2 linked regions of the Saccharomyces cerevisiae S288C genome follow. The main gene of each other region encodes a partner of the protein of the gene in region 2 in a complex. Each region holds a gene or a part of one and is shown on either strand. Other genes may lie near its edges. The genes, in order: GAL83 and SIP1.

What was found.
Region 1: SIP1 (region 2) and GAL83 share a complex: the UniProt entries of both Saccharomyces cerevisiae proteins name them as parts of the SNF1 kinase complex.

What each region holds. Positions count from the first base shown.
Region 1 is NC_001137.3:208,193-211,788, forward strand, and holds GAL83 (Gal83p), read right to left. Parts: upstream 2,041-3,596; coding exon 787-2,040; downstream 1-786. Other genes in the region: CHO1 (CDP-diacylglycerol-serine O-phosphatidyltransferase), read right to left, coding at 1-282; MIG3 (Mig3p), read right to left, coding at 2,500-3,596. UniProt on the Saccharomyces cerevisiae protein: Beta subunit of the SNF1 kinase complex, which is required for transcriptional, metabolic, and developmental adaptations in response to glucose limitation.
Region 2 is NC_001136.10:1,314,530-1,319,335, forward strand, and holds SIP1 (Sip1p), read right to left. Parts: upstream 3,245-4,806; coding exon 797-3,244; downstream 1-796. Other genes in the region: ARO80 (Aro80p), read left to right, coding at 1-363; CAD1 (Cad1p), read right to left, coding at 3,517-4,746. UniProt on the Saccharomyces cerevisiae protein: Beta subunit of the SNF1 kinase complex, which is required for transcriptional, metabolic, and developmental adaptations in response to glucose limitation.

The sequences.
Region 1 (3,596 bases), on a different chromosome or scaffold from region 2:
CCCAGAAAATCCATTCAGCATAGTAATGTAATCTGCCATATGCAAATTCCTCATCATGCTGAAATGATGTTCGTCACTTGTAAATTTTTGGATATCAGTAGCATTAGGGGGGGCCAATGGAGTTGTATTTATAGAAAATATACTTGAGGCCCTTCTGCTTAATGTGCCACCAACTTCATCTGAGGCATACCCGTCATTTTCGTCTCTGTGTTCATTTACGATAACGTCTGTGTCCGTGTGTGGGAATTCTTGAGGTGCGAAATCTTCATCTGATTCAACCATTTTTTAATATATAGTTTTATTTTTGTTTTTTGATTGAATCAAATAGACAACTAAAAATGACAATCACCCACAAAATGAAAAAAATAGGTGTATCTCTCTTTCCTTATTTATAATGTTTCCTATAAAATACGGATCTTCATCTTTAGATGGGTCCATGTGAAAGCTCAAAGGCGTGAGGGTGCCGTGTGAACGTTCAAAGTGATTTTGACCAATTACTGATATATATTCAGTGTCTGGCACAGAAGTCTGCACACATTGAGAAGGAGTGGGGATTGATGTTAGGGATATCTTCTATAATGCTACTAATTTATATATACATCCCGTAACAATTATGTGCATATACGTACGTACGTACGTATATACGTATATACATTCCAACCCATATATACAAATACTTACATGTAGACCTTGATATTTAGTATCATGGAGAGCTATAATGGAAAAATCGCAGAAACATCTTCGCTTTTATCTAAAAAGATGTAGCTATAAGCTCTATAATCATATCTATTGCAATGGTGTATACAGTATTTGGGTCACGTATTTTTGTTTATACCTAACAATGGATGCGACACATAATGTATTATGCTTAATACTGCTTGTCGCCAGATGGTTCAATATAACATGGTTCGGAATGGGAAGGGCGCCAGACGTATTATCAGTTTGCGCGTTTGAGTAACTATTCAAAATGACGTTTTCTAAATGAGGTGGCAGTTGTGGAGGAGTCAACCAGGCCATATTTTGGTGATTATTTTGCTGCTGATCAAGTGTCAAATAATATTGTTCCATTACATTTGGGTCGGTGAACACAGCAGGTATATCTTGAGTGTACTCTAAATTAGGTTTAGCGGGGGTCTCATCGTGAAAACGAGTGTAACCATCGCCCATGTCATCTGGTTCCTTTTCTATCTCCAATGCGATTCTCGAGCGAGCGCTCATAGGTCTCTTACTCAATTTGCTATCATCTACATGATTCGCTTTTTTTTCAGCCAGATGCTGCTGAGGTTCATTGCCCCAATCAGGCGGTGCGCTCACTTCCATATAGTTGACGAAGTTTCCCATTTGGTCGGTTGCGGTAGGTAAATAATCACTGAATCTTAACTCATTGTCAACAATAAATCTGAAACGATGAGTACCTGGAGGCAGCTGTAATTTTACATGCATAAGTCCAGGCTGTCCAGGGACTGGTACTAACCCGATCATCTTTCTCCATCCCGTAAAAGACCCAGTAACGTACACTTTATTACCCCCCTGTTGCCAAGTGATGTCAACTGGAAACATCATAGCTCTTCCTTTCTTGCCTTCCACAGTGCCCTGTTGCTGTTCTTGTTGCTGTTGAAAGCCTTGATTTTGAAGTGAGTCAGGCTGCTGAGATGGTTGATAATCCATTTTTTGCAAGGTATTTCCTGTCATATCTGCATCGTGGATATCGCCTTCGTTGCTGTCGATACTACTCGAGCTGCTAGCATCGATATCATCATCAGAATCAAAGGTCTCCCCAGAACCATTTTCCGCATGGTTTGAATATGGAGGTATTTCATCGTCATCATCGTCGTTAAAAATTAAACTCGATTTATGTCTTAAAGGATGCTGAGGCTCTAATTCATTAGGATTATCTACGTTCATTTGAGAAAAAGTGTACGCCAGGGAAGCCTCATTAGTTGAATCGGCGCTATGTTTACCATTAATCGTAGTGTTGCTAGCTGCGTCACTGACATCTAACATGGAAGCATCCTTGTTTTCAGGGTTGTCGCCAGCCATATTTCAGTGTAGATAATTTATTATTGTGCAGGAAACGACCTTATACAAAATATAGTAGCTCTTATCTAGGATGCTCTCTACTTGCGATTACAACAGTGGCCCAAATCCTACGAGATCGGTATTGTTTTCTTTGCCACGTTTTTTCGTGAGCTTTTCCAAAGGGGAGCAAATTGGTCGCTTAAGGATGAAAATTAGTGCAACAAAAAAAATAGCGTGGCCTGTGTTTTAACGGTAAAGACAAATTATTGAAGGTAGAGCAGGACTTTGAACCGGTCCGGATGAAGACCACTGGACCATGTTTCAGTCTCACATGGGTTTTTTGAAGCACAGCTTTTAAATTTGCAATGATTTTCTCCAAAGGTTTTCTTTGCGTCTTCATTCCAGGAAAAAGTATATCAAGTTTCAAGAACCCATTGTTATTTTCCTTCTTATATTCTATACGTTTTATTTACTGCTTGTTTATTTACTGAAGTAAGAAGGAGCACTGTTGAAATTATCAATTTGTCGCAAAATGCTCTTTATCGGAGGCAATGATACATTGGGACTTGTGTTGGATGCTCTTGATTCTTGGCGGTGAACGTTACTGTCCTCATCATCTCCAGATATATGAAATTGTGCCCTTTCATGTTGTCTCCCTCTGCTAACAGCATTAACCTTGTACTTATGATTGCTCCTGCAAGCTTTCTGTGTTACAGGTGGCCTATCAAAAAATATTCCCATGCCCATGTCTTTAGCCGCGGTGTCATCATACGTAACAGAAGTGAGTGATGATGAACTGCTCGAAACGGATACTGTCCTTGAAATTTCCATGTCTCCTGTGTTTACAGAAGGCATGATTCTTCGCAGAGGACTTAAGTCTGTTGGCGGTCTTGAAAAGCTCTTTGATGGATGTGAAGTTTGAGAAAGAAGCGAAGCACTGGATTGGTTTTTAGAACTACTCAAAGAATCAGGACCACTCATGGCGGCCAAATTCCTCCTAGATTTCGAAAATATAGAGGAGTTTGAAGACAATTCACCCAGGGCTAAAGAACTTCCGGACGAATGTACATACGGTGTAGATGCAGGATCTTCAGGAAACCCGCTTTTCAGGTACTGGAATGGAGAAGTAGAGGGATATACTGATGCAATGGAGGTGATAGAAGTAGTGGAGAGGCTACTTGGAATCGGATGAGGGTCATTTGGAATATTTATCACAGGCACTAAAATTGCAGGTGCCTGTGTCTCCACAATGCCATTATTATTTCCAGTATTTCGTATATTCACGTCATCGCAATTCTGAGCAACGGAGATAAGAATAGGTGGCACTTTAGATTGACCTATCCCCGTGAGCGAAACACCAGTGTTTTCATTGAAGGTGGTAGGGGCGGCGGTAGCAGTATTCACAACGGTTTTTCGCGAGCCCTTGGATTTTATTCTGCGCCTTTGGACGCCTTTAGTATGTGTCCTCAAATGTCTTTTTAGTTCATCGCTTCGGCTGAAGCTTTTCGGACAGCCCTGAACGGTACATTTGTGAGGCTTCTCGCCAGTGTGCGTTCTTCCGTGCCTTTTTTTATGTT
Region 2 (4,806 bases):
TTTGAACCCTCGGAAAGGCCTTTGACGGAGGAAATTAATAGCAATTCTCAGAATTCAAATGATACATCTTCTAAAGGTATCGTTGATCCTTTTGTTGAACAAAACAACGATATCACAACAGCGTTACTGAACAATGAACTCTTCCAAGGTCCATCTCTATCTGACGAGGTTACAGATTGGTTCGGTGCTAGTGAAGATATCGGGCTTGAATTTGTAGAACCATGGACAGAACTTATTGAGCAACGATATATGCAATGTGGAGATGGTGATAATAATAATTTCGAAAATTTATACAACTTGTTCGTGAATAGTAATAACATCAATAATGATATTAATAACTCAAGGCCAATAACGCGTAAATAAGTAGATATCAAAGAATTACGTCATCAACCAAGACAACCGCACTATTCGTAAAAATGATTTTAAATACAAAGACAGAATAACAGGGGAAGATGGAGGTATATAATAATGCGAATGCTTCATAATACTATGACTGGTTTTCCATTGGGCATATGAGATGATTTTACGGCTCAATCACTACTTATATATGATTTCTATAACAAAGCAGGCCATTACACATTAGGAACGGCTATCTATTACATAAGAATATGCAGCAAATTCGTTGGATATGTTAAAGTATATTCCACGCATGCTGAGAAGTGGATTGCCAGAAACGTGACGTGAAATACCTACTAGAACAAAAAAAAAAGGAATGCAAACGTTCTAGGAGCCATAGGAATCAAAAAGAAAAAAATTGAATTAATAGAGTTCGTGAGAATCATTGCGAATTGAGATTCTAATTACTGATCTGAGACTTTTGTGTTTTATAATAACAAGGTGCATAAACTACTTGAGTGATAAATTTCCCCTCATATCTAGTAGTGCAAGCTACGCTGATTATTTCATCTCTAATACTGCTTGTCAGTAAATGGTTCAAATTCACGTGGGGTATAATATGATTTATCGCACCTTCATCCCTCTCATGTGATTCTGAATTCTGATTGCTTTGGTTTAGTATTCTGTTCAGATAGGATGAATTCAGGTATATGGGCAAGTCAGGAACTGGGTATCTACTTAGAAAAACCGCCTCTGCTGTTTCTGCATCAATATTACCGCCTTGCTGTAAAGTAGCAAATAAATCATCTTGATTACAGTCAACAACTCTATGTGTAAAGCTGGGAGGTTCTTGGGGATGCACGTCATCAGAATCTCCTTTTACAGAAATCGTAGAGCCGTCACCTATATTAAATAAATTTGGTATTTCGTTCGAATACACCAACCTCTCAGGCTTGACCTCGGCCATCAAATCCAAACTGCTAGCCTTCAGACGTACAAATGAGTCACGCATATTTATTGAACTGGACCTACTTAAGCCTCTATAATCTGAAAACGGTGTACTTGGCCTTTCAACACCCTTAGCAGAATAGTAGGAAGATTTTCGAGAGGAAGAAGGAAATCTTTTAAGTTCCGGTCTCTTGGGCAATTCTTCATCCAGTGTTGGCTCTACTTGCGAGTCGATGTCTGCTTCGTTTCTAAATGGCTCGATCGTATGATAACCGGGCAATACTTCAAACCAGTTGACAAAATTGCCTTCTGAATCCGTAGCTGTAGGAAGAAAATTTGAGTGAGTCAATATACCATTGATGGAGAATTGCAGTCTATAAATTCCTGCAGGCAAAAAAAGATCTGGAACAAACCATTCCTTATGCACATCATCATAAACCATGCGGATCCTAGGATTTAACTGTTTTTCTGAGTCTAAACTTGCATTCTCATCCAAGGTAAGCTCTCTTTGCTCTTTAAGAGCAGAAGCAATATCCGTGCTTACTATAAAGACTTCCGTGGTTGCAGCCACGGTACCATCGTCTTTCCATTTTAGAACAACTAAAGTATTTTCGGTGGAGTTTGTTGATGATATTGAAGACATACTCGACATGGAATTAGAGTGATGCGATATTTCTCTATGCTGCGGTGCAGAGTATTGACTTTCATTGTCGTTAATAATTGGATGTAGTGGATGCAAAGGCTGCAAATTCAAACCGTTTGTTAAGATACTCTTTCTTGATTGTAAAGAATGCAAAGAAGCAAATGAGGATCTTCTCGAATTTGAAACCGACCTTATTTTTTTATTCTGGGCTTTCTTTGTCTTATTATGGTGCTTATTTAAATCTCTTTCCATCAAGGTCTTATCACCGTACAGTTTCATCATCATTTTTGCAGTAGCAGATATAGGTGCGGTAAAATCGTCGTTGGAGCCTCCCGCGTTTCCCTTGTTACGGGTGTTATTTTCAATATTTCCATTGTTATTAGCGTGGCTTATCCTTTCTGCAGTATACATTGAATTAGAGGAATTCACCCTTGAAAGACGTTGCATATCCTTTTTTAAAGCATTTTGTAAAAGAGACTGGTTCAAAACCATATCTTCACTTTGAAGTACGCCTGCTTCTGCATCTACACTATCACTGTTTCCCTCTTTATCCATTTGAGAGTTCTCAGAAAATGTTTCGTCGTTATTGAGATATTGATATTGGTATGCATGGATAGATGGTTTCTTTGAATAGGGTTGTCTTACAGGAATATCAATGGAATCCGTCTTGGTCAAGGCGGGAAGTGATGCTGAATGCACCGATGAAGACCTCGTTGGAGAAGGGGAAGCAGTAGCTGAACTTTCTAAAAGATTTTTTTTCAAAGCTATGATGCTTGAGCGATGCCTTTCATGGTGTGGTTTGTCGTTTCTTTCATTTTCTGTTGTTTCGTCAACCATGGTGTAATTCAAAGTAGACAGATCATCCAGATCACTTTTAGTTCGTTTGACAGTGGCCATTGATGGACCTGGGCTCAAAAACGACGGAGATTTCACCTGCTCTTCGGGTGCACCCACATCGTGATCATCACTTAAAGTCAAATTGGCCAACGTAGTGTCATTTACGTCTGCGGCAGAGGACAAAGAATAATCCTTTTTGAATAGATGGGACGGGCCCTTATCGATAGTAGTATCACTGCTCATGCGCCCATCACAATCTGTCGATGGATCGTGAGATGCAAGTAATTGCATTCTAGGGGGAATGGCACCATTATGTTCGCTAGTATGACTGGCGCGTCTCTTATGAGTACTCTTCCTATTGTTAAACAGTTGAGAGGTTATGCTTCCCTGACGATCTTTATTGAATGCATCATGAAAATGATGTCCATGCTCCTTTTTGGTTGAATGCGATGGATCCTGAGTAGAAGGACTGTTTCCCATGGCGGCTGCAACAACTATATAATATGACAGTTCAACTTTCCAAGATGTCAGTCCACACGCAAAAAAAGAAGTGCAAATGAAAGAAACACTAGGTAAGACACCTTGTTTATGTAGGTATCCACTTGTATCGGATATATCTACCATTGTTAATTGTCAATAGTATTCCATCAGAGACAATGGTAAAAAGACAAAAAAGGTATAATCATCGTACAAAGCGATCAATATTACATGCTCTCATCCAACATTATGTATACTCAAGATATGTTTATATGCTACAGGAGCTGTCTAACCAGAGCACTCTGTAAGTCGCGAGCTTTGACTACTATTTTGCAGTCATCTGTACATTTTGCCTTGATTATTAATTCGCTGCATAAATCATCTATGTCCAACGATGAATATTTTGGTAGGGAGGAGATCTCTTCGAGAATGTGGTAGCAAGACGCTTTTCCATTCGATATGGCGCTGCTAATGTGTTCAATTGCTTCAGATTGGGTTCGAATTGTTTTAGTATGAGAAGCAGCCACCGGAAGCACCGAAGCTAGAGATTTCTGATTCAACAGGTGGCTTGTTATTAAGTCGCATTTGATCTCCTTATTTGAACATGGTTTGGTCCCGATACACTTGCGGTTGCAAATATTATTACACTGGCTCCCTACAGCAAGGGGAAGCACGCTGGGGAATAAAGTATCATCTTCTGTCTCGTATGGAAGATACTTTTGGTCAATTTCACATTGACATGCTGACGTATCTATTTTTTCAGCGGTCAGGCGTTCAGAGTGCTGAGGAAAGTAGTTATGAATGTCGTAATCTAAAGCTTCTAGACCAGTCTGTCTATCATTGGAGACAAGATCGAGACTGAAATCTGGCATTTCACTACCATTAATACTTTCGTCACCGATGGTAACGGCACCTGTTCGATTTCCGGGGGGAGAATCCCACGAATTGGTTAAACTGGGAGCGTTCCATGAGCCTATGTTCCACATAACTTTCTCATTCTCTTGAGTGTGCGGCTGTACTTCTATACTTGTGTTCACAGTCATGTTTTCATCTGAATTAGGCGATGGCAATTCCTTTGCAGCCTTGCTAACTGCTGTACTTGTTCCTTTTTCGTTTTCCCTTTTCTGTTGTTCTTGCAGATCATCGAGGAAGGCTAATATTCTTTCATCATCAGAATTCTTAGCTCTATATTTTGTAATTTCCGACAGTAAACTTTTTAAAGAACATAGTAAAAAGTCCGTGGTAGTCTTATTCTGCGCATCTTTCTGTTCTAGTAACTCTACCCTCTCTTGCAAACTCTTCATTTTGGCTTCTTTCCTATCTCGGAACGCTCGTTGAGCTGCCCTATTCTGGGCAGTCCTCCTACTCTTAGCTTCAGAGTCAATCCTTTTTCTGCCTGGTCTGCCCACCTTCCTCTTAGGTGTTCCATCTTTATTTAGCAACATTTGCTTCTTCATGTCACCTGCTAAATATATTTGCTGACCTTTCCGAAGGATATTGCCCATTTATCTTAACTGGTCGTTCCATTGCTTATATGTCGTCCTTAAAAGTAACACCCCATTCGT